4 linked regions of the Caenorhabditis elegans genome follow. The protein of the gene in region 1 interacts with the protein of each later gene in a pairwise test. Each region holds a gene or a part of one and is shown on either strand. Other genes may lie near its edges. The genes, in order: Y47G6A.14, C16C8.4, ZK512.4 and gipc-2.

Region 1 (10,773 bases):
GTAAAATATTTTGTTTCCGATCAAGGGTGCTGGCGAATATCCCGCTATCGCTCGTCTCTGCAGTTGCCATTGCCAGGAAAATCCATGATTGAAATGTTCTCAACTTTTTAATTTATTCAAGTTGTTATACAGACCGAAAAATTCGAAAACTCATTTAAATATAAAATTCATAGCTTTAAAACTTGAGCATTTCTCAGTCGGATAATTATGCGTCGCTAGTAGTTCCAAACTCATTCTCCACTGCGTCGAGGCGTTTCTGCTGCATTCTGACGACAGTCTGGCTCATATCAGCATTCGATTGGAGAGAAGAAATTGCGTGGTCCGCCTGAAAATGGTAAATTTTCTTATAATCTTTCTTTACTTTTCCGAACAAATTTTCGATTTTTCGGTTTTTTTTTTTTGTTGAGCAAAACCGAAAAAAAATCTGAAAAAACTTCAAAATCGGAATTTCTCATCAAGAATGCAATATTTTTTATTACGGTTTACGCGTATTTCATACAAAAAAACAGAAATTGCACTTTTTTGAGCAAATTTGACCGCAAAATTTTTCACTTTTCGGTTTTTCAAAAAATCGAAAACCCCGGCAGGCTTGTTTCCGAACCTTCTCCAACTCGTTCTGAAATCCCTTGACAACCTCCGCTTGTTCCGGATGTCCACGACTTTCCATTGCGATTTTCGACATCTTGGTGATTTTCTGAACATTTTTAAATATTTCAGATAATTATTTAATTGAAACCCACGTCATCATATCCTTCCAACTGTGTGATATAATGTTTGAAGGTGTCAAGAAGAGCCGAAAATTTGATATTAATCTCATCTTTATGCTTTTCAACTTTCGAGAAAACCTTGAGCGAGGTGTAGGCTTCCTGAAAAAAAAGATTAATTATTTCTCTTATTATGGGAACATTTAATTCTGAGAATGCGTATTGTACAACATATTTGACGCGCAAAATATCTCGAAGCAAAAACTACAGTAATTCTTTAAAAGACTACTGTAGTGTTGATTTACGGGCTCGATTTTCGAATCAATTTTCTGTTCGAAGTGTGCTTTAATAAATGATTTCCGTAAATCGATACAAACGCTACAGTAGTAATTTAAAGAATTACTGTAGTTTTCGCTTCGAGATATTTTGCGCGTCAAATATGCTGTATTATCAGAATTTTGTGTTCTCGTAATAAAGGCTGGTTCACAAAATTACCCAAAATTACCGAATTTTTCTTTTTCTTTATAAATTATGTCGGTTTTAAAAATTGGGAAAATACATTTTTTCTTGCTAAAACCTCAAATTTTGAAAGCTTTACAAAGTCAGAACTTGCAGAAGTCAGTTTTCATTTATTTATCACATTTTACTACACATTTTGGTCGATTTTTGTGCATTGCGACCGAAAATGTAAGAAATTGTGATAATTAAATAAAAATTTACTTCTGCAAGTTCTGAAAATACGCGTTTTTTGAGAAATTTTTGGTCTTTTTAGGTGTAAAATTAAGTTTTTACCTGAACTTGAGAATATCTGACAGTCTTGTGCTCGCCGTCAGAATGATGATGATCGACGATACAATTCGTGCAAATCGGCAGAGTTTCAAGGTCAACTGCGTCGATTTCAGTTGTTTCGAGAAGATTGTCAACGAGTTTTCCGACGACTTCAATGCATGTTTTGCAGCAGCGGAATCTGTATGGAAAAAATATTGATTTTTTTTTTGATTTTGCAGAAAAGTTAATTATTTTTGAACTCCCGCGCAAATTTTCTCGGAAATTGGCCAAAAACTCGATTTTTTGCGGAAAAAATGTCTGAAAAAATAGAAAATCTTTTTTTGCTGCAAATAAAAAATATACATACAATTTCAGGCTGAAAATTTCAGTTTTTTGAGTTTTATTGTGAATATTTTTTAGAAATTAAAAAAAAACAGTCAATTAAATTGAAAATAACGAAAAATGCTCAGCAGACGCTCCAAATATTTCAATTTTCTGTGAAAATCGGCTCCAAAATATCCAAAAAATGAGTTAAAGAACCTTTCGACGGTCTGCTTGGTCATACACTCGCTGCACGTGAGCTCAAAAATTTTCTCGACGGGCTCTTGGCATTTCGTCTCCTCGTCCTTTTTGTTGATGGCCACGAGAGCAGTGAATGATTTCTGAAATTTAATTTATTACTCAGTCGCGAAATTTTGCGCGAAACTACGGTATCAGGTCTCAACACGAAAGATTTTTGTTGAAGGCGAGAAGGTGTGCGCCTTTAAAGAGTACTGTAATTTTTGTAAATTTTGAATAAATTGACAAAAAAAGTATGGGAAAAACATCGATTTTTCATCGTTTTTCTGTCGAAAAAAAATTCCAAAAAGTGAAATTACAGGAATTTTTTTCGACAGAAAAACGAAGAAAAATCGATGTTTTTCCCATACTTTTTCTGTCAATTTGTTCAAAATTCACAAAAATTACAGTACTATTTAAAGGCGCACACCATTTCGAATCCAGCAAAAATCTTTCGTTTCGAGACCCAAAACCGTATTTTTGACGCAAAAATGACGATTTTTTACTTGATATTCCTTGTCCTTATTGGCAATTTCCAAGCACACAGACTGTACATAATCTGACATTCTTTTGATTTCCTGATCAATTCTCTTGGAAAACTCCTCTTGGACATCACTAGACTTGCTTTTTCTCATCATATCCGTCATCTTGTCGAGCTCCTGGAATTATTTGATTATTGATTGAAAAAATAATATGGAGACGCAGAAAAATGCGCCTTAAAATTTAAAAATCAACGTGGAAATGTGCTCCGCCTCCAAATTATCGGTCTCGTTAGGTATACATGGCGGCAAAACTGGAAAATTCAAAAAATTCGAATTTCAATTGTTTTATGTCGAAATTGATGAAAAAATTGTTTTTAAATGCATTTTTAACGTCATTTTTCCGTAAAAATCACGAAAAGCAACAGAAAACTTCTTCAAAGATTTTGTCACCAAATATTTTCAAAAATCAAAATTTTTCGATTTTTTTAAACGATTTTTCGTGTTCCGAGGAAAAAAAATTGAATTTTCACTAATTTCCGAAGAAAAATTAGTTTTTTAAATCGAAATCCACTTTTTTTTTTGATAAATTCATAGTATTCTTCCATTTTTTCTCCTAGATTATCTCTGAAAATATCCGAAAAATCGAAATTTTGACCGCGCACATCGATTTCAAATATCAAATCAAAATCACCGTGTGGAATGTCTTATATGTCGATGCAAACCGAGCATACCACGCATTGGTGAGCCCAAACGACGATTCGAGCTCAATTCTCAGAAGAGAAATACTTGTAAGCTGGCTTGCGAAGTTCATTCCGGACTGAAAATTTACAATTTTAAGTCTTTTCTTTACAAATAAATTTTTTAAATATACCGCAACCGGGAAATAAGCCACAGTCTCGTGGCCCTGTGTGACATGAGATCGCAGTGCACAACTTCCACAAAGCGCCAACGATTTGATATCCAAATCCACCTTAAAAAATCATTTTTCAATTTTTTTTTTTTTTTTGAAATTGGATATTTTCCGGACCTCGGCACCCAAATTCTCCACGACGTCGTATTTGAAGGCATCAGTGACGCAATTGCGGCAGACGAACATGCTGGAAATTGAATTTTTTTGTTATTTCTAATTAAAAGAGGCCTACTCCGATTCGTTGTCGTATTTGGTGCATTGAGTGCAGTCCACTGCATTTGCAGGCTTCTTTGGCTTCTCACGAAGCTTTTGGATCATGGTCACAGCATCTGAAAAATAGTTTTTTTCGGGAAATATGAATATTTTTAAAACTTGTCAATGCAAAGTTTTTTGTTCGCTTCTCCTTGCTAACCACGGCCTGAAATTATTTTATTTTTAAACAGATATCAATATATTTAAGCCATACGCGGCATGTCGGGCATTGTGTCTGGCCACCAGATCCATATGCGTCAGAATAATCGCTTTTCAAGTGCACAATGCAAGTTTCGCATAGAGAATGGCCACAAGATATGATGAATGGAGCCTTTTGATCATCTGAAAATAAAAATGTGCTTGTTTTACAATAAAAATTGGGATATTTTTCACCAAATTCTTCCTGGCACACAGGGCAAGTCGGGAGTTCTTCATTAACATCCATTTTTCTCGAAAATTCTGAAAAATAAAGTTTTTTAAATTAGAAAAATCAATATTTTTAAATTTTCGTTATTTTTAATCGTCGAATAATTGAAATTTTCGTTTAAAATTAAGGAAAAACAATTTATACAATTTATATCCGGAAAAATTAATGTTTTTGCAAATATTTGAGTTTCAAGCGTTTTCGCTTCAAGTCTCAAGGAGGATAATGTGCTTGCGCCTTTAAAAACTACAGTAAGACCTTTGTTTATTTCGTCATCGAATTTCAATGTTTTGAATCAAATTTCCCGTGATTCCGGTTTGATTTTCACAATTTTATTATGTTTTTACACTATTTAATGAATTTTAATTCAGTATATAATAAAATCCATAGATTATCCACACTGAAAATCTACCAATACCGTCAGTTTCTCAAAAAAAAAACATTTGCCCAAAAAATGCCTGTTTTCCATGGAAATTCACATTGATTTTTAATTTCACAACGTTTTTTTTGCCAATTTCTTTCCAAAATTTCTCAAAGTACTTTCGCAAACTAATCGTTCACTTTTGCGTCATGGCTCTGTGCACTGGAAACTAATTTCAAACGACGCGCGCATTGTCTTGTGCGATGGAGCGCGCTTGCTATTTTCTAAAAAGTGCTCAGTATTTTTGAAGCTTTATGGTTTTTCCTTGTATTTTGCATAATTTTAAACATTTTTCTCGAGAAAAAATATTCGAAAAAGTAGAAAACGGCTGAAATTTGGTTGTTTTTAATTTTTTCCCTCGTTCCTCAATCTTAAAATCGAAGATTTCGTCATCTCTCACTGTTTGCGCAGTGCATGATTATGATAATTAAATTCTATTGCAGAAATGTGGCGATTATACCGAAAAACGCCGAAGCAGCTGAGAAATTCGGTCGAATCATGCTTCAAATCTGTCAATTCCCGCCAATTTTCAGTCAGCTCATTTTCAGCAGTAGCCAAAGATGATGTAATATTACCGCCTGCCAGTATACTGAAAATTCTGAATTTTTTTGCAGAAATCCGTGCTAAAACAACAAGAAGTTCTGCATCTTCTCGCAAAAGATCAGCGATTTGAAGAGCGATTCTTCAATCAAGTACAGCAGACAATTCGATATTTCGCCTCGAAACCAAATGATTTGAAAAAGTTCTTCAGGAAGGAAGCATCGACGGATAATAAAGGTTTTCAGAGGGAAATTATCATTAATTCGAAGTTTTTTCCAGAATCTTCATCATCTTCTGACAAAAAGGACAGCAAAGGAAATAAGGGAGAGGATAATAATCCGTTTAATCAATTGTGAGGAGGAATAGACACAAAAATCGGCTAATTTTGGCTAAAATCTGAAATTTCGCCCAAATTATCATCATTTAGATGCTTTTCACCACGTTATTTTGTTTATTGAAGTCTCGGAGAAGCCCCGGAAATCATTTCTAGTCGAATTTCTTTGGAGTATTTCAAAAAATTGACTTTTACAGGTTTCCCGGGCCGTATTTTGAACTTTTTGGCAAAAATTGTCCCAAAGATCCGGAAAAAACTTGTAAAATCCAATATTTTTAAAATAAATTGGTGATTTTAGCTAAAATTAGCAGTTTTTTTAAAAAGTTTTATTGGCAGAGCAAAAACCGTGCCAGAGTTGCAAAAATTGGCGTTTTTAGCATTTTCTCCATTTTTCCAGATTTTCAAAAATCGAAAATTCGGGATTTCGGAATCATTTCAATAAAATTCAAAATTTAATGAAATCACGAATTTTCCAAATCGTTGAAAAAAAATTCCGAGAAAAAAAAAACAAAAAAACGCCCATTTTTGCAATTCTGGCACGGTTTTTTGCTCCGCCCACGATGTTTTTGAGCGGGGCACCACGTTTTCAAGATCTACGAGAAGAAGATCTACGTTTTCAGGATCTGGCACCGTGCCAAGTGCAGTTTTCGCAGTTTTCTCGAAGAAAATCGAAATAACGATGCTCCGATATTACGCATCGCGAGTTGTTTAGCGTTTTTCAGAAGTTTTTATTCAAAAAAGGTTTTTCTGACTAAACAACGTGCGATGCGTAATATCGGAGCATCGTTGCTTTTTCTTCGAGTAGACTGCGAAAACCGCAGTTGGCATGGTGCCAGATCCTGAAAATGTAGACCTCCTTTTCGTAGATCTCGTTTCCGGCTAGATCTTGAAAACGTGGTGCCTCTTTTGAGCACATTTACCTTTTCTAAGATTTAAAAGTGGGGTACCGAAATCTGGAAAATATTTTCAAATGTCTCCAAATTTTCTTCTCATTCCAAATATCGATGTGAAAAAAATCAAAACAATTTTCTAGATTTTATATGATTTTTTGAAAATAGGAAAAATCACAGTTTTCACCTAATTATTTTTGAATTTCCGCCAATTGGATTTGTTCGGTGGAGCGTGCTTGCAGTATTTTTATCAATTAATTTTTTTAAATTCTTGTTCTTTGACTGATTTTCTTCATTTTCTATGTTTTCTCCTCGGAAAATGGAAGAAATAAACAAGACAAATGCAAAATTCTTGTTAAAAAGTAATTGAAAATGAGTAAAACTGTGAAATATACTAATTTCAGGCTTGTTGCCGTCGGAACTCAGAATATCACAGTTTTACTCATTTTCAATTACTTTTTAACAAAAATGTTGCATTTGTCTTTTTTATTTCTTCCATTTTCCGAGGAAAAAACATAGAAAATGAAGAAAATCAGTCAAATAACGAGAATAAATAAAATTAATAAATAAAAATAATGCAAGTGCGCTCCACCGAACAAATTCAATTGGCGGAAATTCAAAAATAATTAGGTGAAAACTGTGATTTTTCCAATTTTCAAAAAATCATATAAAATCTGGAAAATTTTTTTGAATTTTAATATCATGATATTCGGTCAATGTGACCCCATAGGCGCGTTTTAAAGCAATTTACCCACTGAGCGTAGTCCACCTTTAAAAAAACGGAGAAAACCTCTAAAACCCCTTAAAATCAATCTAATTCCTCCAATTTTCAGCCCAGGAGGATGGCAACAAATTGCCGTTTCAGTTGGAATTCTGCTCGCTCTCTACGCCTTTATGGATTATCAGTCGTATCGTGAAATTTCCTGGAAGGAGTTTTACAGTGATTTCCTGGAAGCTGGACTTGTCGAGAGACTTGAAGTAGTTGATAAGCGATGGGTTCGAATTGTTAGCTCGTCTGGAAAGTATGCAGGAGTTAGTTTTTTAGTTTTTGCACTGAAATTCGTGAAAAAATGAATTTTTTTCTTTCAGCAAACGTGCTATTTCAACATCGGAAGTGTGGATAGCTTCGAACGGAGCCTCGGAGCTGCTCAGCATCATCTCCAGTATGATGCTGATCGACAAATTCCGGTTTTATATAAATCTGAATTCAATTTGTAAGGATTTCTGCAAAAATCACTCCATTTCAAGAAAAATTAGAGAAAAAAAGAAAAAACCCCCGATTTTCTTAAAGAAAAAGCTCTGGGAAATGGGAAAAGTTATAATTTTTGCATGAAAATTCAGAAAAACTTTTAATTTTTCACATTTTTTGTAGTTAAAATTTTGTTTTTAAAGTGAAAACCTTCAGAAAGTCACTGAAAATGAAAATTTTGCACAAAAATTATGGAAAAAGTTGCTTTTTGCTCGTTTTTTGCACTAAAATTTCAAAAAAAAAATCCGATTTTTCTGATTTTTTGCCTGAAAATTTCAAAAACAAAAATTAATTTTGCTGGTTTTTTGCAGAAAAATTTTTAAAAAAACGCAGTTAGGCTGTTTTTTGCCTAAAAATTCGAGAAAATCTCAATTTTGCTGAATTTTTGCACTAAAAGTCTTTTAAAAAATCCGATGTTTCTGATTTTTTGCCAAAAAATTCAAAAAAAAAAATTTTGCTGATTTGTTGCACTAAAATTCCAAAAAAAACTCAATTTAGCCAATTTTTTGCACTAAAATTCCAAAAAAATCCGATTTTTCTGATTTTTTTGCACTAAAATTTCAACAAATATCAATTTTGCTGAATTTTTGCAGAAAAAATTTAAAAAATCGCAGTTAGGCTGTGTTTTGCCTAAAAATTCCAAAAAAAAATCCGATTTTTCTGATTTTTTTGCACTAAAATTCCAACAAATATCAATTTTGTTGAATTTTTGCACAAAAATTCAAAAAAAAACGCAATTTAGCTGATTTCTCGCACTAAAATTCTTTTAAAATTCTGATTTTTCTGATTTTCTGCACTAAAAATTTGAAAAAATCCAATTTTTCAGGCATTTTTACATTAAAACTCCCCCAAACTTCAATTAAAAACCTTTTTTTTTCAGCAAACGCGAAATCCCAAACCTCATCAGCGTCGCATTCCCTCTTCTCTTCGGCTATTACATCTATCGAATGCTGAAAGGCGGTGGAGCAGCTGGCGGAGCCGGAAGAGCTGGTGGAGGTGGACTCGGTGGAATGTTTGGTGGATTCGGACAAAGCACGGCTAGAGTCATTAATCGAGAAGATATCAAGGTGAAGTTCGCCGATGTTGCCGGTTGTGAAGAGGCAAAAATCGAAATTATGGAGTTTGTGAATTTCCTGAAGAACCCCCAGCAGTACAAGGATCTTGGCGCGAAAATTCCGAAAGGAGCCATTCTAACAGGACCTCCTGGAACCGGAAAGACACTTCTCGCGAAGGCAACCGCCGGCGAGGCAAATGTTCCATTCATCACTGTATCGGGATCCGAATTCCTGGAAATGTTCGTCGGAGTAGGACCTGCAAGAGTCCGTGACATGTTCTCAATGGCTAGAAAGAACTCTCCGTGCATTCTATTTATTGATGAAATTGACGCAGTTGGAAGAAAACGTGGTGGAAAAGGTGGAATGGGTGGACACTCTGAACAAGAGAATACTCTGAATCAGCTTCTCGTTGAGATGGATGGATTCACAACTGATGAATCGTCGGTCATTGTGATTGCCGCCACGAATCGTGTGGATATTCTCGATTCGGCACTCCTCCGACCTGGTCGCTTTGATAGACAGATCTATGTTCCAGTTCCAGATATCAAAGGTCGTGCTTCAATCTTTAGAGTTCATCTTGGACCACTTCGGACTTCCCTCGACAAGACTGTGCTTTCACGAAAACTCGCCGCCCATACACCAGGATTCTCTGGAGCCGACATTTCGAATGTGTGCAATGAGGCTGCGCTGATTGCGGCGAGAGATGCGAATCACGAGATTTCAAATAAACATTTCGAACAAGCCATCGAACGAGTCGTCGCTGGAATGGAGAAGAAGACGCAGGTTTTGCAGAAAGAGGAGAAGAAGACTGTAGCCTATCATGAAGCTGGGCATGCTATTGCTGGATGGTTCCTACAGCATGCGGATCCTCTGTTGAAGGTTTCTATTATTCCACGAGGAAAGGGTCTCGGATATGCACAGTATTTGCCGAAGGAGCAATACTTGTATTCAAAGGATCAGTTGCTTGATCGGTAATGATGATGCAGTTTTTAAGTTTTTATTTTTCAAAAAAATTTCCAAGAAAAAACTGTTAAAAACTGTCAAAATCGCGATTGGAAACACTTTAAAATCGTGATTTCTGGATATTTATAGTATCAAAAAGTGCTTTTATGAGATTTTCCCGACAATATTACACTTATTGCTTGATCGTAGTTACAAATTGTGCAAAATCGTGATTTCTGGAATTTTTTGAATCACGAAAACGTGATTTTTAAGCAAAAAGGTCCCCAAAATTTCACTTTTATGAAGCTTTGGCGGCGGATATGCACTCTAAAATTTTTTAATTTAATTTTTTTTAATCATAATTTTGAACCAGGAATAAGTCGACATTAGTTCGAAATTTAAAAAAAAAGCTCAAACAAATAGGAAAAAAGCTAATTTAACTTTTTCTCCCCAAATAATAAAAATCTTAATATTTTATTCAGAGAATTGAATTTTTTCGAAAATTTTTAATCTTTCCCTTCATTTAGGATGTTTTCCCAAAAGATTTCACTGTACTGATAAATTTTTAGCTGAAATTTTTCAATTCAAAATCAATATTTCTGATTTTTTTCAATTATGCATATTTCAAAAAATATTGTTTTTTTTTCGATTTTGCGATTTTTTACCAAAAAAAGAGCCAAATTTTGTTGGCAAAAGAAAACCTTTAATTTTTCGATATTTTTCAAAATTTTTAAAAATTTTTCAGAATGTGCATGACACTCGGAGGTCGCGTCGCCGAGGAGATCTTCTTCGGACGAATCACAACTGGAGCACAAGATGATCTACAGAAAGTTACACAAATGGCATATTCACAGGTTTGGTTTATTTTATTTTACAGCTTTATTGAGACGGAGCAAAAGTTGCAAAAAGTATTCGAATTTAATCTAAAACCGGCGATTTCTTGTCGAGAGCCTCTGTCAATCCTTCACAAATCGTCGACGCAATGCCAGTGTCCGGATCCACGTTGCATGTGCATTTGACTGGAGCCGAGCCGCTGAGAGCCGTGAAAATAATCAGAATTTGGAGAAGAAGAAGAAGAAGAATCAGTTGAAATTTCATGATTGAATGGATGGGGGAATGTTTGACTGAAGAGCTCTGAGAGAGCAGCTTTATCTGACATATGAAGTCGATTATGTTTTTGTTTCGGCGGGAGGAGAGCCAAGGAGAAATAGTGTGTGAAAAATGGAGAGTTCAGGCAAATACCA
Region 2 (6,296 bases), on another chromosome or scaffold:
GATTTGTCGAATTGTGTTCGATTCGTACACTGGTAGTTTCCTGCGGTTTTCAGACACGAATATGCCACCCGGAATGGACCAGGAAACAAAAATCTTAAACATTGAGTCATTCTTTGCCAATTCTCCAGATTCAATTGGGACGTCTTTCACAGCAGCTCCTTCTTGAATCTTCATCATAATCCGATCTTGACCTTCCTGAATTTTCAGCATCATTTTCAGATTATTATTCGAATTCTTGGTTAGAAGATCATTCATCGATTGTGCCTGAGACTCCTGTTGCTTTGTTGCATTATGCAGGTCACTTATTTGATTTTTAGTCTCATTCAGCTCTGTTTTGAGAGTTTTCAATTCCGACATCAACTTTTCGATCAATTTGTTTTCATTTTCCTGGATTTTCAGAAATTCTTGCCTAATCTCATCTTGAAATTCGTCTTGTTCCTTCAAAATCTGAGTCTCTTGTTGCTTTTTCATATCACTAGTCTCATTTTTGACCATCTCCAAATCCAATATCAAATTTTCGATCACCCTGTTTTGATTTTTCTGGGTTTTTTGACAATCGTGTTTTTTCAAAATCTTTTTTTTCACTCGGGAATCGTTCGCCCACTATGGGGGAGTCTGCGCAAGGACAAGCAAGGACAAGGACAACATTCTAATGGAATGGAAACAACTGCCCGACTGCACCAATTCTAGTTCAAGCGAACAATGATAACTTTTGTATTCTGTATTCCTTCACGTCTCCCAGCGAGCGTAATAAATTATTATTATTATTCTCACCTCTGTGAATTCATTGTATATCTTGGAAGTTTCAACGCGAAGTTTTTGGAATTGAGACATCAAACTGCTTGTCTCCGACATTTTTAAATCTGAAAAAAAAAAGCTTTTTGATAATTTTTGAAATGCAAAGAAGTTCCTAGTTAACTTTTCTAATTTCCCAGGTAAATTCGAGAAAAAACTCTCTAAAAACTGAACAAGAACCGAAAACCAAGAAAGTTGCTTTTATTTTTGAGTAAATCAAATATCCAAATGATTGCAGAATCATTTTTAAAAAAAATCTGTGAAAAGCGAACAATTTTAGTTAACAATTATTTATTCGCAAAATAACAATATCTTGAAAAAAGTGAATGAAAATTAGAATAATTATGATTCAACGAGAGTATAGCCAAATTAATGCGCCTTCTTGAATGTTGTAGTAGGCGAGAGAGTGGTGGTCTTCGAGAAGTTTTCCTGAAATTCGAATTTTATTTTTAAATCTACTTTGAAACCAACCAACCACGAAGCACCATTCTGAACGAGCTGATGTCTACTTTTGCAAGTGAATTGATGCGAAGTTTGATGTGTCGAATTGTATCCGATCCGCACACGCGAAGTTTCCAGTGGTTTTCAGACGCGAATATGCCACACGATTCGGTCCAGATAACCAAAATCTCAAAAAATGGGTCAATTTTTGTCAATTCTACAGTTCCAAGTGGGACGTCTTGCACAGCTGATCCTTCCATAATCTTCATCATAATCTGATCTTGACTTTTCTGAAATTTCAATATCGATTCTAAAATCAGTTTCAAGTTTTTATCCGAATTGTCGATCAATTTTTCCTGAGACTCTTGTTGCTTTTTCGTCTCATTCAGCTCTGCTTTGACAGTCTTCAATTCCGAATTCAAATTTTCGATCGATTTGTTTTGATTTTCCTGGACTTGCTGAAATTCGTCTTGTTTTTTAAAAATCTTCTGGATTATTTCGAGAATCTCAAGAAGATCCTTAATTGATGTCGCCTGTTTCAGTTCTTTTTTCACAGATTTCAACTCCGACATCACGTTCTGCTGAATTTGCTTCATCTCATCGTTGAATTCGAATTGTTTTTCCAAAAGCTTCTCGCTTATGTCCAGAGTCTCTTTGAACAGCGTATAGCTGGGTTTCTGGAAGAAAATTGATGTTCTTATAATGTGTAAGCTCGAAAACTAAACCTCTTTAAACTCATTCTGTATCTTGGAAGCTTCAACGCGAAGTTTTTGAAATTTAGACACCAAATTGCTCGGCTCCGACATTTTGGAATCTGAAAAAAAACATTTTTTGAGATATTGGTGTTTTAGCGGTTACAACAGCATGCTTGCGAATAAAACCACATTTTCTGGCGTAATTAGATATTTTCTAGAACAATTCGGAAAATAAACTCCAAAAATCTCAAGAAAACTGAACAAAATTGAAAAACTGAAAGGAAAAATGTTCACGAACGAAATTTTCGAAGAAACTACGGTAGACGAGGAAGTACGCAGAGTGTTTACGGACTTTGCATTGCAAATGACGCGCATTGCTCATATTAAAAATTTTTTTTTTTTTTTTTTAATTTCAAATCTCTTCTCATTACAGTCTAATGCTTACAAACTGATTTTCAATGCCAGAAAAACGCGAAATGCTTTGAAATATAATATTTTCAGAATTGTTCGCGAAAAATGGACAACTCGAATAATGTGATGTCGAAATTGCAGAAACTTCGACTTGAATCGGTTGGGAAAAAAAGTATATTAAAACATTAAATAAAAATATTTTTTTCCAGAAATTTCCGAACGGCTCCACACTCGTCGAAAATCAATTGCTCTTGGATGTCAAATCGCTTTGCGCAGAACTACTCGAAGAACAGAAGTCGCTAAAGAAGAGACTTCAAAAAGTTGAAGAAAATCAAAAAATTGAGAACGCAAAGATCAAGGAGGAGCTGGAAAATCTGAAGAATGGCGGAAACCGAGTTGCGGACAATTCACTTTTTGAAATTTTCGTGTTCGATGATTACAAGTACCACGCTGTCGAAGTACGAAATTCTTATTTGATTCGTTATGTAAGAGTGAAGGTGGCGAATCTGCTCAACAACGATTTGGTTGAAAGTTTTAATCTGTATTATGGTTTGTTAAAACCAATTTTCATCACAATTTTTAAAACTTTTCAGGTGGTCAGAAGCTTCAGGACAATCGCTCGATTGGATCTTACAATATTGATCAGTCTCGAGAAATTTATCTAAAAAAAAAAAAAAAATTATCTACCCTGCTCTTGAACGTTACTATGATTATTAATTTGTTACCTGCCAATTTGATATAATTTGTTAATCTTATTTTTGTAATAAATTTTTTTTTTGAATATAAACTGGATATGGATTTTTCTATTTTGAATATGAGCATCGTATGGAGAATCAGTTATAAGACAGTTCGAATATTTTTCAGAAAACTTTGAAAACATTTTTCGGGTGATTTTTACAGTTAACTACTGTAGATGATGAAGTACGCAAGGTGTTTGCGGACTTTGCATTACTAATAACGAGCATTGTTTTTCATGATAATTCGTTGAAAAAGAAAAACAACGCGTTGTTTTCTTTCCATTTCTCTGGGTTTTTCAGTATTTAAATTTTAATTTTCAAGTTTTAAAAACTAAATGAATCTTATTTTTAGACTTGCCCACGAAAAATGAGTAACTCGAAGGATTTGATGTCGGAATTCGAGAAACTTCGACAGGAAACTTCCAAAATTCAATATTCCCTCATCCAGGTTAGTTATTATTGATTATTACTTTTAAAATTAATTTATATTTTCCAGAAACTTCCATCCGAGCCGTCCAGCTTCGTGGAAAATCAGCTGCTCCTGGAAACTCAAACACTTTGTGGACAACTTCTGAAAAATCAAGAAGAACAAAATATTCTCAATGAGAAGCTGAGAAATGAGCAGAAAATTATCAAATTGAAGCATAACACAGAGATGAAATCGATGCGAGACAAATTGGAGACACTTACAACTGCCCAGGCGGCGCAAAAATTGGATTTTGAGCGACATTTCGAAATGATGAGACAATCCCATTCGGCGAAAATTGTGAAAATGGAAAGAGATTTGAGAAATATGAAATACGATTTGCATTCGTTGAGAAGTGATATGGATAGTCGGAAAAACTGCGAAAATCGTGCTGCTCCGAAACCAGAATTTCAAATTTTTGTGAAGGTTCTGGGAGTGAGCTACGCTTTCAAAATTCACCGAGAAGATACAGTTTTCGATATAAAAAATGATATTGAACATCGTCATGACATTCCCCAACATTCATATTGGCTTAGTTTCAGTGGTTGGTTAAAATAGATTTTTAGTTAAAAATTGATTTTAAAAAAAAAATTTTCAGGAAAAAGATTGGAGGATCATTGTTCAATCGGCGACTACAATATTCAAAAATCTTCTACAATTACAATGTACTTCCGTTCTGGATGATCATCTCATCGATTTATTTTTTAATTGTGATTTTTACCCGAAAAATGCCCCAATAACATGTTGTTTAATAGTGTGAAATAAAGTTTTACTGTTTCCGTCGAATATTTTTTCTCCGATTTCAATTGAAAATGTGTTTAGGAATTCCAAAAATCCGGAAAAATACAAAAAAACATAAAAATTACAAAAAAAACTTTTACTGGATTACGGTACTTGCGTGCTTAATAATACGTTATCTCTGGCGTTCTTTTTTATTTTTAAATCAAGCTTTTCTTATTATTCTCTGGTAAAATAAAAAATTTTTTTCAACTCAAAAACGTGAATAAATTCATTTCCTAAAAATCACAATGCTTTGTTTCATCGTACTTCTCGTTCTCGGAATCAGATGCTCCGCCAATTTTCATGTTCCGAGCTTCATTATTCCGCACCCAAGTCCCGTTTTGATCGTAGAGAAGCAGATCACCTCTCTTGAAACAGCAGTGAGCTCCGGTGATAAGAAAACCCTTCTCAAAATATTTGATGTCACAAAAGGTTCGTTAGAAGTAGAAAAGTCTCACTAGAATTGGTAAAGAAGGTGAAGAAATGCTTTATTGTGAATCTTTCGGGCAATTTTTCATGGTTTTTCTGCCGGTTTGATGAATAAATTGATGAAAACAAGCCTTAGCATAAGAATAAGCCTAAGCCTAATCCTATGCATAATCTTAAGCCTAAACTTAAGCCTGAGTCTAATCCTAAGCCTAAGCTGAAGCTTAAGATAAAATTCCAGGTGATGATCCGTACGCTGACAAACTTATCGAATCTAGCAAGACAATCAAAATTACGGTAACAAGTGCTCGATACGTGTCCTACAACCGAATTGAGGCGGAATTGCAAATCTCTGGATCGAAATCTAGAAATGGAAAGTGGTATTTGAATAAGGTGAGTTGGTAATCTGCAATATCTAGCCCTAAAATGTTCATGATTCCAGAGTTTTCTCAGTCCGACTAGCTGGAAAATCGACGGGATTCAACGGAAAAAGTCTCAAAATTCTACGTGGCAATGGTGTTATATTGGCCTGTTCAAATGTTTTATAGATGTCGTTTCTGAAATAAACTGACTCTCGGTTTATTAAATTTCAAAATGCAAAGTGTATTTTAGTCCTCATTCGCAATCGTACGAGCAGACCAGCTTGACCACGTTCACACTGAAAATTGAAGTTAATTGGGCTCCAGGCTCACAAGCCTAACTTACACTGTGTCCGCTAGAGCTGGATTTTCTTGATCTAGCCATGTACCATCATCTTGGCACGACAAAGAACTTTCAGCTCCGTTAGCATTCCAGCTTCCCACTGGGACTGTTGCTCCAGCTGAGGTTTCTGCCTGAAAGTACAGGCTTCAGAACTCTTACAGTTGGTTAACTCACGTGAATTTGAAAATTTGAGCACATGGTTCCGGGGTTGGCCTCGCAAGTGGCTTGTCGCTTAGAACAACCATCATTCAGATCACTTTCACTGAAAAAATAAGCACGACTTGAGGTTCATAATTAGGAACTTACATGTAAAAGCTGATCCTTGGATCTTCTGGATCCTCCAAGCTAATCATAGGACAGGATTGACAGGGATCTTCTGGTTGATCAGTTTCTTCTAGCTCCTGGGAAACTTCATGCTCTTCTAGGGCTTCAGGAACATCTGGAACTTCTGGTTCTTCTAGAACTCGAACCTCTTCTAGCTCTCTTGAAACTCCTGCGCGGTCAGATTCTTCAGACTCTTCTGGATTCTCCCCAGGATCCCCAGGGAGTATTTCAGCAATATCGGAATTTTCCAGAGGGTTTTTATTTATGAAGGCCTCGATTTTGGAAATGGCACCAAATAGTATGAAAAGTGTCAACCAATTCATTTTTTTTGAACAAAAATACAAGAAGAAAATGGTATAAATTCCTACTTGTTGGCTTTTCCGGAAAGATTTTTCTATTGTAGCTACAAAAATTTACATAACAATAGCGAAAAAAAACTTTGTCTACTCCTTTGTGTCACAATCTTTTATTCATTTTAACTGCTATTAACACGTGGTGTCAGAGCGTCCCATATTTGAT
Region 3 (6,103 bases), on another chromosome or scaffold:
CCAACCAAGTCACGGCCAACAAGTCTGATTGTTCCGAATACTGAAACACCAAGAACTGTATCTCCAGCTAGTAAACCTCCTCTTCCACCACAATCTGTTGAACGGGTTGAGAGGACTGAAGATGCATCACCTGCTCCACTTCCACAACTTCCGATCCGAAAGCCACCTCTGCCACGTCAACAGTCCAGTAACGATGATTCTTTGAATGAGAAAGTGGAAACCATCCGTAGAGCTCATCAACAACGTCAAGATGCATCTAGAGCTGCATCAAGAGCAGTTTCAAGTGAAGAATCAGAGGGAGAGGATTTTCCCGTATCCACCAACCGCGGTAGAATACGAATAGTTTGTCGCGCGGCATCTGTAAACCGTGATGATGGACTGATGAGTATGATCCCAGGAACTGGTACGATCATAAATGTTCCGCCACCTCAACATCAACTTCCGGCATCCGCTCCGATCACCAATGGGACATCTGAACAAGTCGCGATTCCAGTCACACATTTCACAGGTGAGGAAGACGAAAGTGACATCGTCGTGCCAGCGTGGTTACAGCGTCGGAGGCAACGCTTCCAACGCTCGCGCACAAATCCCGACATACAGGCACAGTTCACAAGTGCTCGAGTGCAGCAGCTTCTCGCCGAACGTCAATCTCGTTTAGACTCTTCTACGACAACCGACGAAGAGAAAGAGAAGCTTGCCGTTTTGCGACAGCGTGGCCGCAGCGCTTCTCGTGAAGCTGGTGAATGGAGGGCTCGTGGTAGACCACGTGCAGTATTCGGACGAAAAGGTGCGAAGGATGGCGAGTTAAACTGGCCACGTGGAATTTGTGCATTGTCCGGAGGTCTTGTCGCAACTTGTGATTCGTCTAATCATCGTGTCTGTGTTTTCGATAAAGATGGAAAATTTGTTCGTCAGTTCGGAGGCTACGGTGCCGGTGCCGGACAACTTGATTCAGCTGCCGGGCTAGCAAGCTCAAAGCTCCGAGTTATTGTATCCGACAGGTACAATCATCGAATTTCCGTTTTTGGATTGGAAGGAGATCATTTGTTCTCATTCGGTGGACATGGACAGGGAAATGCTAAGTTCAATAATCCATGGGGAGTTGCTGTCGATGATTTGGGAAGTATCTATGTGGCTGATAAGGTAGGTCAACTATCATGAGACGTTTCTCAGTAATGCGAAAGTTCATAATTGTATACATTTTGATAAAAATTAACTTTGTTTATTAATTATCATCAAGAGAAGAACTTTGTTTTTGTAGATTCATATATTGCAGGCAAACCGGACGTCCGGTATTTTGAGTATCATTTTTTAATTTTTTTTTTTTTGGAAATTCGGACGCCGGACATTATTGTGGTCCGCTTTGCAGATCTAGATTAAATTTTAAAAAACATTGCCCCACATGCTAAAATACAAGTGAAGCTTAAATTATAGGATAATCACCGCGTCCAAGTCTTCGACAAAAATGGTCAATTCATTGCAAAATTCGGATCTTTCGGACATCTACCTGGTCAACTAAACAGTCCATTGTTCATAGCAGTTAGCAGAGTTACTCATCACGTGAGTGATTCCAGATAGATTCATGAATCATTCTGAATCGTTTCAGGTGTATGTATCAGATTCTTCGAATCATCGAATCAGCGTATTCGATCCCCACGGTGTTCATTTGTTTTCATTCGGCGAGGAAGGTTTTCATGGTGGACAATTCAAATTCCCACGTGGAATTGCTATTGATTCACAGGTAAGGCTGGAATGCTAAAGAAAAATTCTAAACCATTCATTTTCAGGAAAACCTAATAATCGCCGACTCCGGTAACAACAGGATCCAAGTTTTCGACGCCCAAGGTCAATTTGTCTCCTCTTTCGGAACTTGGGGTGGAGGAGCTGGACAACTGAAAGGTGTCGAAGATGTTTGTGTCACTGCTGACGGTTCAATTGTTGTCACCGATCGCGAGAATCATCGCATTCAGATCTTCTAAATTATGTTTTTTCGGGCCTTATTCTTGTTTCATTTTCAATTAAAATGTCTCCTTTGTAATTTTCTGTTATCGATACCGATGCCACCCAACTTTTTAGTGTTTTCATCTTTAGGTACAAAGCACTTTTACAAGTATTATTAATTATTATTACCCATTACGACTTTCGGTTTTAAAACACTTCTGTTTTCGAGTTTCAATAAAATATTTATTGAGAAAAAGGAAACATTCATTGGATTTCCGATTGCATTCGATTGTGGATTCTAAGCTTTGAAAGTGAAGAGGCAAGTTTGGCCAGCTGTTTGTTGGAAGACGGTGAAGCGCTCGTTGGCGGAAACTTCGTATCTGAAATTACAATAGCATTTATTAAATGAATGTTTGTATTAATCTAATTTTCTTATATTGGTTTCTACTTAGCTTTCTACGTACCTACTGTGCTGCCTAAAATTACTATACACCTAAATACATGTAGTAGGCCTACACGCATGCCTGCTAGGCCGGCAGGTGGTAGGCACGTATCAGTGAAAACGCGCTTGGATCCTATGAGAAGGTTAATGATACCGTGCAGAATTGACGAACAAATTTGTAAATTTTAGCTCTTATAACGGCCATGACATTGAGTTCACAGTGAGACCCATCCAAAAAATAGCATTTGCCTTTAAAGTGATGATTCCAGTTTTCACAAATTTACGATAATCCATGAGCTACATTAATCACCTCTTTCCACCTTCCTTCATCTTAGAAATTTTGAGAAGTCCACCCTTTCCAACATTGTACTCTTTTTCTGCCTCTGGAACTCCGCCCATCAACGTCATGATAGCTGGACTTCTGACAGGCAAGGAGCTGTTGGAATGAGCCGAAGTCACCGAAATCTCCTTCTTCATCATTGGTTGCTGGCCACGACGATTGTACGGATGCTTTGGAGCGTCTTTGTCGATGCGGCCACGCTTCAAAAGTGCAATTTCATCCATGAACTTGAATTCAGTTGGATTTGATGCCAACGACAAGTGCGTGCTCACTGGACTTTTTCCTTCGTCCGCAGGAATATCGACAGACTGAAATATTTTCTTCTTCATTAAGTTTTTCAACCACGTATTGTATGATACAGGTGCGAAACTTGGCAATTTTTTGCCTACAGCTCCTGGTCTCGGAGCGACAAATTGTTGTCAGATGCGGGAGGGTGTGCGCCTTTAAAGAGTACTGTAACTCCAAACTTCATCGATTATTGTTACCACTTATATTTTTAGTTTTTCAACAAATTAATAGTGTGTTGGAAAATCACTAAACATTCTGCAGCAACTAGACAAAATTACAGTACTCGTTAAAGGCGCACAACACTTTGCATTTAACAACAATTTGCCGCGTCGAGACCGGGCACCGTATTCCAAAAATCGGATTACAGCGCACACCAATAAAATAAATAAAATTACCTCTGCTCCATCAAAAGACACTGTCGGATAGTGTTGATCATTCTTGATTGAACGCGATTTACGATGCTTACGAGAGCTATCGTTCCGGTGAGACATTATTTCTTTGTCAAGCTAGAGGAATAAATTCAAACTGAATTTATTGATTTTTAAAGCTTTGGTTTATTTTTCTATCTGTAGTGTTGAAGTTCAAGTTCACGTATTTGAAAAACAATTTCATTCAATAAATATAAACTTTTTTTATTTAAATACTTAATTAAACCATAAACATAAAACAAAGCGTGTTTATTGAGTGACAATACCGCGAAGCAGGGTCGATGACAACTTCTCCAACTTTTTTACATCCTGCAATTGATTCGTACTGTATTGAAGGCAGACCACGTCATCGGTGAGCTTCAGCACGAGCTGTCCCTTTGTGTGGTTGTACTTGGTGACGAATCTGAAAATCAAAGTTTAGTTGTCACTAAAACTTTTGGAAATCTCCATGAGGAATGTTTTAGGGGATTTTTATTTAAATTCAGCTGAATATGCCATAAATAACAAAGAAACTACAAAAAAGTTGGTTGCAGAAATATCGACAAAAAGATTTTCCAGGAAATAATCCTTTAGTAATTTATGTTTCTCACGAATAAAAATTATTGATAAAATTGATTTTCTTTCGCTTTTCTATTTTATGTAAATATCGCACATTTAAGTAATCTATAACATTTTTCAATCCCGAAAGTGACGGTTTTTTTAAAATATTACGAACTAACCTGCATTTCTCCGGATTGGCACTATGAAGCCTTTCAGCAGCTTTTGCAAATTCGTCCCAGCTTGTGAAGTATGTCATTGTTTCGAATCTGAAAAAAAACTTGATTTATAAGTATGGAAGTATTTGAATAAGTAATGAGCGCAGAAAAGAAGGAAAGACGATTTTGGAGATTACTAACAAATAATATTATTAAAATATTCAAGTCAATTAATTCATAAATTCACTAGTAAAATAGTATTATTAAATTTTAATATTAAATAAAATGCTTAAAACATAATTTGTTGCCGGCCACATTTCAAGTGTCGTAAGATTCACTGCACTGGACGCAGAGATGCAATGCCGGTGTTTGCGTACTTTTCGAATTAATTTTTTTTGCTGAATTTTAAGAATTTTTAGATAATCTTTCTTATTCCTTAATAGTTTTGAATGGGTTTTAGTCTTATAATTAAGTGAGATTTCAATCTAATTTTTTCAACAGCTTTCGTATTTGAAAATTAACTAATTTTCATAGGAATTGACGGAATACTAAATATTTTCCTTGTTTGCTTTAATTAATTACTTCTAATGAATTTATCTTCTTATTAAACGTTTTCTCCGTTTAAAATATCTTTCCCAACCTTTATCTTTTTTCAGCCGTCAAAATGACATCAAAAGTGGGTCCAGTAGCCTTGAAAACGTTCCGCGAGAAGCTCGGCCCGGAACTGCTCGAAGTATTCGATAAAAGTTACAAATCGTTCACAGATGTACAAGTAAGTTTATAATAGTTTATTTGATCGAAGTGAAATTATATCAAGTGAGGAAATGTCCAAAATTTCCAAAGTAATCAATCCTTCTTCAATTTCGCATCCTTTTTTGCATCGTCCCAAGGAAATCTGAACGGATGAGCAGGTGTCATATCTCTCCATTCTCTATCTATATCGATATCGTATTCTTTAATTTTAACGTTAAAGCATTTTGCCATCACTATCACAAATATAACTGCCACAAGAACCACGAGAAAAGCAAACACGTAGAAAGTTTCCTGAAATTAAAATAATGTTTTTAATTAAACATTTTCCACTTAAAATCCAATACCTCATCAAACAACTCGTTGAATGTTGGAACTGCTTGATTCATCTGATGAACAACGTCCAACATTAATCGAGTTTTCCCATTTTTTCGCTTCCCTTGATAATAATACGCTCCCCAGTCCTGTTTCGGTTTGTTCATTCTCTAAAATCAAGAATATAAAATAAAAATGTTTGAAATATACAAGAAAAAGCATAGCATAAAATGGGTCAGAAGGGTGGGAGAAAGGATATTGATCGGGAGTTAGAGAGACGCAGACATGAGAGCAAAGGAGGAGTGTGCTCTCCTCAAAGCTGAGGAAAAAGCCATTTGATGTAGAAAGTAGTAGGAATGCATCTTTATTTAATTATCCAATTTCAGGTTCTCTCTGGAACACATCTCCTTAACCTGTCTGATGTTGTCGTTGAATCTCCAACTGGATCTGGAAAGACTCTTGCTTTCGTTTTACCAATGATGAGAATGATTCAAAATGCAAAACTTCAGCCTGCTGACATTGGAGCACTTATTCTATCGCCTTCAAGAGAGCTCTGCAGTCAAATCGTTAGCGTAATTCAACCATTCGCAGAGAAACTCAATTTAACTGTGGAAACAGTTACTGGAGGACAGAAAGTGGACAAAAATATCAAGATGTTCAAGAATAAAAAGTATGTTCGTATTTTTATGCGGAGTAAAAGATGAATTACAAAAAGTTCGCCAAAAAAAGCGAATTTCTTAATGAGACCTCAAAAAATTTCCATCATTTTTATGACGGTTTGAAAAATCGAAGAAAAAATCGAAAGTTATAGCAAAAATTAGTTTTTTTTTTTAGTTTTTGAGCTGCAAAAATATGACATTTTTTGGCAAATCTCATCATGAAATTCATTTATTTTTGCACATTT
Region 4 (6,641 bases), on another chromosome or scaffold:
AACGAGCCCCTGGCGATTGTGAAAAGAATGATGAAGGAGTTCCAATCACTAATCCAGAATTGGTTGCTGCTCTTGCAGAAGATAACATTGAAATCGATGAGAAGAGCTGGTTCGATCATATCGGAGACTACATGTCGTGTGCAATGCCACGAGGTGTTACACTGCCAGAAAAGTTAGTCTAGTTTTAATGTTAGGCGTTTAATTTTTCAATACTTCAGCCATACGTTTGACTCTCTTGCTCCACGTGATAAGTTGGAGGCAAATAGTGATTTCGTGAGTCAGGAGACTGTTGCGTACAACACTGTTAAGAATTTGGTGGAATTGAGTGAAGGTTTGAAACTTTTTAGAATGCGATTTCTTATCATGTGTTTTCAGACGCAATCAAACGTTTTTCAATGAAACGTGATGGGATTGATGACAGAGCACGGCCTACAGTAACCCAGGATACAACAGTTGAGACTACGATTGAGACAACAATGCCACTCCCTCCTGTTAAAGCACTGTCAACTGATACGATTTCAACAACACCTGGAAAAGCGATTTCCTTCCATATGAAGAACGTTGTCTGCTTGAGTTATGACGTGAGTTCATTTTCTAAATAACTTTATCTAAAAGCTTCAATCACAAAGTGTTTATACTTTGTCTTTACAGCGTAATCATCCTATTCAATCAATTCGAAAGTTCCGGAAGAAAATGAGCAGCAAGGGAGTAATGGAGCAATCAACTCAGCCGAAGGACAGCACAAAGGAACTTTAGCTTTAATCATTTTCATTCACTATATATAAAGCGCAGTGTCGTTCTGTCCCTATGTAGTTTGAACTTTGATCTCTGATCTTTGAACTCTCTTTTCTGTAGTTGAAGGGATATTGGGTTGGGAGTTGGTGATGGATAATGTCAAGGGACTGTAGTAGTACTGTAGGTGTACTGAAGGGTTACTGTAGGGTTACTGTAGGGTTACTGTAGTTTAGGAAATTTTGATTTTTCAGCTTTTGAAGGGATATTGCGTTGGGAGTTGGTGATGGATAATGTCAAGGTACTGTAGTAGTACTGTCGGTGTACTGTAGGGTTACTGTAGTTTAGGAAATTTTGATTTTTCAGCTTATGAATGGATATTGCGTTGGGAGTTGGTGATGGATAATGTCAAGGTACTGTAGTAGTACTGTAGGGGTACTGTAGGGTTACTGTAGGGTTACTGTAGTTTGGCAAATTTTGATTTTTCAGCTTTTGAAGGGATATTGGGTTGGGAGTTGGTGATGAATAATGTCAAGGTACTGTAGTAGTACTGTAGGGGTACTGTAGGGTTACTGTAGGGTTACTATAGGGTTACTGTAGTTTAGGGAATTTTGATTTTTCAGCTTTTGAAGGGATATTGCGTTGGGAGTTGGTGATGGATAATGTCAAGGTACTGTAGTAGTACTGTAGTAGTACTGTAGGGTTACTGTACTTTGTTTAAGGTTGTGGTGTGATGGTTTTCAAAATTTAATCTTTCAGCATATTCGAAAAAACTTAAACACATGCAGCAGGGAAACAAATTCTGCTTACTTTTTTTTATAGAAAAACCTAATGAATTCAGGGATGTGTCAAACATTTCAAATTTCGCCAGTCGTTGGCCGCGCCGGAGGCGCGGTCAGCGGCTGGTCAATTGTATAAAAGGAGTACTGTAGCGTTTCATCAAAATAAAATCATTGGAAACCTCTAGAATGCCGATTCTTGTTGGAGAGAATACAATTGCAAGTTGAAATCTAGCACCTACGGCGCGGCCCTCGACTTTTTTGAGAAAGCACATTAGATGTACGGTGTCTATCGCGGACCTCGATCGATGTCTGCTGCGTATTTAGCATAAGGTTTCCCAAAATGATCAGAGATCAAACTACATAGTGACGGAACGACACGCGCTTTATATATAGTAAATTGATTTAGAAACAATTAAATTCAGCTAGGACAAGAAAAATAATTTATTTGACAATACAAGTTAGTCAAAGAGTTTCATAGCCGATGGTCTTGAAATAGCATTCTTCATGACTGGCATTGGCTTTTTCTCACGTTGTTCGCGTTTCAAATCACCAATAATTCCCCACATGTCGAATACCAATCCATCCGGGAACTCGAACATTGAGAGCTCCGACTGTTTGATGGCTTCACTGAGTTGCCAAAGTGTCTCGCAGTTTGAGGCAGTTTCCCATATTCTCATGGCCAATTGATCATCTTGAACTCCCAAATATTGGTCGAACAGTTCGTTGAGTTTCCCGCACATCTCAGCCTGGATCATCTGATCTTGAATATCTTCAACAGCAAATCCACCTTCCGATTTGAAACGAATGGTTCCTTTTGCTAAATCTCCGCCAGTTTTCCTAGTCATCTTCATAGTTCCTGGATCCGCACTCTTTGGAGCAATCAATCGAATGATACATTCCTCGCCGCGACGAATACTTTTCAACATACGAGCAACTTGGTAATGTCTTTTACCGAGCACAGACTCTCCATTAATCGCCTCAATGAGTTGACCAACTTGTGTTGCTGGACGCATACGATCGAACACCGAACCTGGGCTTATGACCTTGATAAATGCATTTCCGAGTCCGTTGTCAGTGACTGTCACTCCAAAGACGTTGGCGTCTTTGACCATTCGGAGCTCAGTTGCTTGTCCGCGAACGTGTGCAAAGAGCATATCCTTGAAGTTGAGTGTTCCACTGAACATGTTCTTCATGTCTGGCTGAAAATATTTCGAATTAGAGGAATTAAAGTATCAAAGCTTGCCTTGAAATCATTAACCGTCAGGAAAATGATATCGTCTTTTGAGATTGCAAAGAAATCAGCAATTGATTGGTACAATTCCTCCATATCGTTCCATTTGTCAATGATTGCAACTGGAGATCCATGAGCCAACTGGCAGGGAAATTTGAGCTCTTTTGCTGCAACCATCAATGGGTTCACCACTGGCATGATTGAAGATGATGGTTCTTCGACAATTGAAGCTAAAACGGCAGGCTGAATTGGATGAGCTTCTCCATAGTTGGAGCGACGATTGAAGGCTCCACGAGATCTTGATCGGCTTCTGAAATATTCATGGTAACCTGAGATCTGAGACTCGGGCTCATGAAATGCATACCTAGAACGGCGGCATGGGGCTCCTTGTCCTTGCATTGCGAAGAGTTAGTTGTAATTAGTTGTTGTAAGTCGAGTAAATCGATGAATGAAGGATTTACCAGAAAATTGATTATTTATAGACATTGATGTGGGCGGAGCTTGGATGCCAACCAAAGTGGGGTTCCACGCTGAGCAAGTTCATTAAAAAATATAACTTTAGAATATTTTTTCGTTTCTATTTATTCATGTATATGCTTTCTTTTTTTACCTGTTTTTAAACTCAAACACGTGTAACAAGTAAAATTGTAATTCGGAAAAAATGTATAGATTTTTGCCTCAAAATCCAGGGTTCTTTGATCTTTGACTTTGCATGATTTTCTTGATACTTACCGTGATTTTGATACTTCTTATTAAAAAAAATTTTTTTTTTGGCAAAGTATAGGCTTGATGAAACGTTTCACTCGTGTCGGGACCCGGGGACGTGTATAATCGTAAATCTCAGAAGTCTGTGGCGAAAATATTAGACTCCTGCTGTTCATAAGCTCAAAGAGGGTGATGTACTCATCGGAGGAGCCGAACAAAGTGAAGGATGTAAAATTTAGAACTTCTAGTTAGCTATATGATCCTTTACTTCATTTGAGTAATGAACTGAAAACATACGTTCCAATAAGTGAGAAGCCATCGTTCAAAACTCGCAAAACATTAGAAGCATTGTTAGGAGTTTCATGCATGTACAATAAACAATCGTAACTGTAATAAATAAATTTTAAATTATCTGACAAAAAAATATGTTGAGAAGAAAAAACAAAATGTTCTTGAGGCCCACGTGCCTACCTGGCTGCCTACCGCCCATTTCTCCGCATTTTGATTTAAAATTGATTTTTTAAATCACTGATTTATTATTTACAATCATGTGCAAAGTTTTGCTCCATAAATACATCTGGTCTCCACACGACACATTTCTGTTACATACAAAAATGTTTTGTTAGGCGAAATATATGAAAATAAGTTATTCGAAAATTCAAAATTAGTCGTGCCGAAGGTGGACATTCTGTTTTTGGCAAAAATCGCGTATCTCAAAGTTATTCTTTAGTGTCTATTAGTCCACAACTCAAGTAATTCCGAACCTTTGAAATTGACATTCCAACTAAACACGTCATTGTTAGTTGACGCCAGTTAGCGGTGAATTTTTCATGTTATAGAAAAATATATTTAATGACTTATTTATTTTTATCCTTACATACATCGGAAAAAAAAACTTTTTTAAATTTACAAAAATATTTTTTTTTCTATATTTTTATTTTTTCCTTAACCTCTTCCACGTCTTCTCGAGAGCGTAAATAACTTTTAAAAAACTATATTTTCAAAAGGGAGCAGACAGTTGATATTAACAAACCTTTTTAAATTTACAAAAATATTTAAAATCAAAAGTTCACGAAAGGTCACTGGTTCATCTTGATAACGACTGCTATAAATAAGGGTAATATGTTCAGTTTATACAACTTTAACATAAAGTTTCAAAAAGATGTCTCTGACGGCCGATCCACCAGCGTGCACTGTTCCAGCTGCTGGAGGTGCTTCCACCCACAAACTTGTTAATGCTGGAGCTGAGAAGATGATCTTCAAGATCAAGTCTTCAAACAACAACGAATACCGCATCACTCCGGTATTCGGATTCGTTGATCCATCTGGTTCAAAGGACATCACAATCACTCGTACTGCTGGAGCACCAAAAGAAGACAAGCTTGTTGTTCACTTTGCCGCTGCTCCGGCTGATGCAACTGATGCCCAAGCTGCGTTTGCTGCCATCACTCCAGCTGGAACCATTACAATTCCAATGTCGGCAACGGCTTAGACGTTTAAATCGACGAGTATGATGAGACAAAGATGAGCATTTTGGAAAAAAGAGATTTGAATGTTTTGAATGAAATATTTGAATTGAAGTTTTTGGTTTTTATTATTTCACATTGGTTTCTTACTAGAACTGCTTAGTTTCAATAAGAAACCAAAGAATTTATCATAATTGTGGCTAAGAAAGTGCCCACTAAATATTTTAACCAGGAATTGGAAACCCGGGATCATATCACTTTCTAGGTTTCAAAGCGGTTGATGCCAATCACTGCCGATCAGCCAATCACAAGGTATAATACCAGATAAAATGATGGAAGTAATTAATCCAATTAATTTCAGGATTCTCACCCCAGCTCATGTGTGACGACCTCGAGTCTTCCAGATGTCATCATTCTCGTCTGCCTCCTTATTCGGTCTACGCTATGCTGTGTGATACAAGCTGTGATCCTTAGCCTTATCCAAAATCTTCTCTCGTCTAAAACACCTGATAAAAAGTTCAATCGGGTCAGAAGTTTCGAGATAAGCAGCGAAGACGCGAACATACATCGACCAGCCCGTCACCATCGGAATAATTTGCTGTTTTTTTAATCCATTATATTTTTATACAAATAAATTTATATGAACTATCAACTGTTATTAAAGAACCACTAATTTCAAACCAATGGCGAATAACGGGTGAACAACTAGCTGGGCATTCGTGCGTCCTCATCACTTACCGGTCCGTTTTTCGTCAGTTTTTCATCGAATAGCGGTCCGGGTCTTCACAAAAGCCATGTACCGTTTTTGCGAGATAGCGGCCCGTCACTCGACGAAAATTCATGACGCGGTTTACCTGTGTCCCAACTCTGCCACCGAGGGCATTTTTTAACTCAATGTGGTGGGTGTCACATTTTTGGTGGTCACACAAGCTGAGATTTGCGTAGCCCTAATATACAGTACATTTAAGCGGAAAAACTACAAACTCTACTTCAACTTTCAAAAAAGTTTCAGAAATTTTTAGTGGTTTGAAACTCACAGTGAACGGAATGAAATTAACTCAAAAATTGAAGAGAAATTTGTCGTTGGCTGTTGGTAGTTGGTGGTATTGCCCAAAAATGAGCAAAAGAATGAGCAAAGTAACGTGGAAATGAGATGGTGTATAGTGAATAGTCAAGAGAAGACAGTTGATTGAGACTAGAAGTATAATAGAGCAAAGCAATTAATGAATAGAAAATCAATAAGTTCTATTCGTGGAGAAAGTTCACGTAGGCCAATATCACGGATTAACATTGCTAATTGGGGCGAACACGTCTCGCTCCAATTGGCACCTCCCCCCTTCATTGAAGAGTCACGAGTTCCTTGACGAAAGGACATCCGACCAGAAGCGTTGTGTGTACTTCCGTTGTGAGTGGCGGATTGACCGATTGGTTTAGAGATCGGTCCTCGGGTATTGCAGTTTCCATGTACAGCTGTAGAAGATCCTTTGACTCCACTGTTACTGGTTCTTCTCTTTTGACATAGTTCAATTTTGTTACGACTTCCACGAACACCACCAGTTGTAGAAAGAGAATTATCACCGGGAACTCTATCATAGTCATATCTATTGTTGCCCGGTACTTTTAGTTATCAATCATTACATAAAAGTAAATAGGAGTTGTCTGTCAGATCAAAAACTACGCTCACAATTTTTTGTTTCAATCGAATTCTTGAAAACTTAAAAAGCA

What was found.
Region 2: the proteins of Y47G6A.14 (region 1) and C16C8.4 interact in a two-hybrid assay, tested with the Caenorhabditis elegans proteins (one large-scale study listed by BioGRID).
Region 3: the proteins of Y47G6A.14 (region 1) and ZK512.4 interact in a two-hybrid assay, tested with the Caenorhabditis elegans proteins (one large-scale study listed by BioGRID).
Region 4: the proteins of Y47G6A.14 (region 1) and gipc-2 interact in a two-hybrid assay, tested with the Caenorhabditis elegans proteins (one large-scale study listed by BioGRID).

Annotation. Positions count from the first base shown.
Region 1 is NC_003279.8:3,462,170-3,472,942, forward strand, and holds Y47G6A.14 (RING-type domain-containing protein), read right to left. Parts: upstream 6,019-10,773; 5' UTR 5,953-6,018; intron 5,412-5,952; coding exon of another isoform or gene 5,339-5,411; intron 5,297-5,338; coding exon of another isoform or gene 5,134-5,296; intron 5,085-5,133; coding exon of another isoform or gene 4,965-5,084; exon of another isoform or gene 4,963-4,964; intron 4,134-4,962; 5' UTR 4,120-4,133; coding exon 4,068-4,119; intron 4,017-4,067; coding exon 3,889-4,016; intron 3,841-3,888; coding exon 3,795-3,840; intron 3,752-3,794; coding exon 3,655-3,751; intron 3,610-3,654; coding exon 3,540-3,609; intron 3,483-3,539; coding exon 3,384-3,482; intron 3,330-3,383; coding exon 3,204-3,329; intron 2,690-3,203; coding exon 2,537-2,689; intron 2,135-2,536; coding exon 2,013-2,134; intron 1,672-2,012; coding exon 1,497-1,671; intron 867-1,496; coding exon 741-866; intron 695-740; coding exon 602-694; intron 326-601; coding exon 206-325; 3' UTR 101-205; downstream 1-100. Other genes in the region: AFG3-like protein spg-7, read left to right, coding at 4,965-5,084, 5,134-5,296, 5,339-5,411, 7,117-7,315, 7,373-7,497, 8,413-9,558, 10,275-10,383.
Region 2 is NC_003280.10:3,441,516-3,447,811, reverse strand, and holds C16C8.4 (Ubiquitin-like domain-containing protein), read left to right. Parts: upstream 1-3,431; 5' UTR 3,432-3,446; coding exon 3,447-3,527; intron 3,528-3,575; coding exon 3,576-4,089; intron 4,090-4,143; coding exon 4,144-4,229; 3' UTR 4,230-4,324; downstream 4,325-6,296. Other genes in the region: C16C8.20 (Ubiquitin-like domain-containing protein), read right to left, coding at 1-195, 775-855; C16C8.16 (Ubiquitin-like domain-containing protein), read right to left, coding at 1,145-1,224, 1,271-1,913, 1,962-2,042; C16C8.5 (Ubiquitin-like domain-containing protein), read left to right, coding at 2,448-2,501, 2,552-2,891, 2,936-3,084; C16C8.22 (PLAT domain-containing protein), read left to right, coding at 4,574-4,757, 4,993-5,144, 5,194-5,322; C16C8.27 (DUF281 domain-containing protein), read right to left, coding at 5,367-5,409, 5,457-5,584, 5,628-5,715, 5,760-6,100.
Region 3 is NC_003281.10:9,143,482-9,149,584, reverse strand, and holds ZK512.4 (Signal recognition particle 9 kDa protein), read right to left. Parts: upstream 4,246-6,103; 5' UTR 4,236-4,245; coding exon 4,159-4,235; intron 3,843-4,158; coding exon 3,689-3,842; 3' UTR 3,626-3,688; downstream 1-3,625. Other genes in the region: RING finger protein nhl-1, read left to right, coding at 1-1,143, 1,435-1,560, 1,607-1,741, 1,788-1,979; ZK512.8 (uncharacterized protein), read right to left, coding at 2,240-2,321, 2,694-3,031, 3,407-3,502; ZK512.11 (uncharacterized protein), read right to left, coding at 4,981-5,178, 5,232-5,366; ZK512.2 (putative ATP-dependent RNA helicase DDX55 homolog), read left to right, coding at 4,799-4,906, 5,586-5,869. UniProt on the Caenorhabditis elegans protein: Component of the signal recognition particle (SRP) complex, a ribonucleoprotein complex that mediates the cotranslational targeting of secretory and membrane proteins to the endoplasmic reticulum (ER).
Region 4 is NC_003282.8:10,024,471-10,031,111, forward strand, and holds gipc-2 (PDZ domain-containing protein), read right to left. Parts: upstream 3,197-6,641; 5' UTR 3,145-3,196; coding exon 3,110-3,144; intron 3,056-3,109; coding exon 2,758-3,055; intron 2,714-2,757; coding exon 1,973-2,713; 3' UTR 1,943-1,972; downstream 1-1,942. Other genes in the region: F44D12.8 (PHD-type domain-containing protein), read left to right, coding at 1-172, 219-331, 376-581, 652-756; msd-2 (MSP domain-containing protein), read left to right, coding at 4,613-4,942.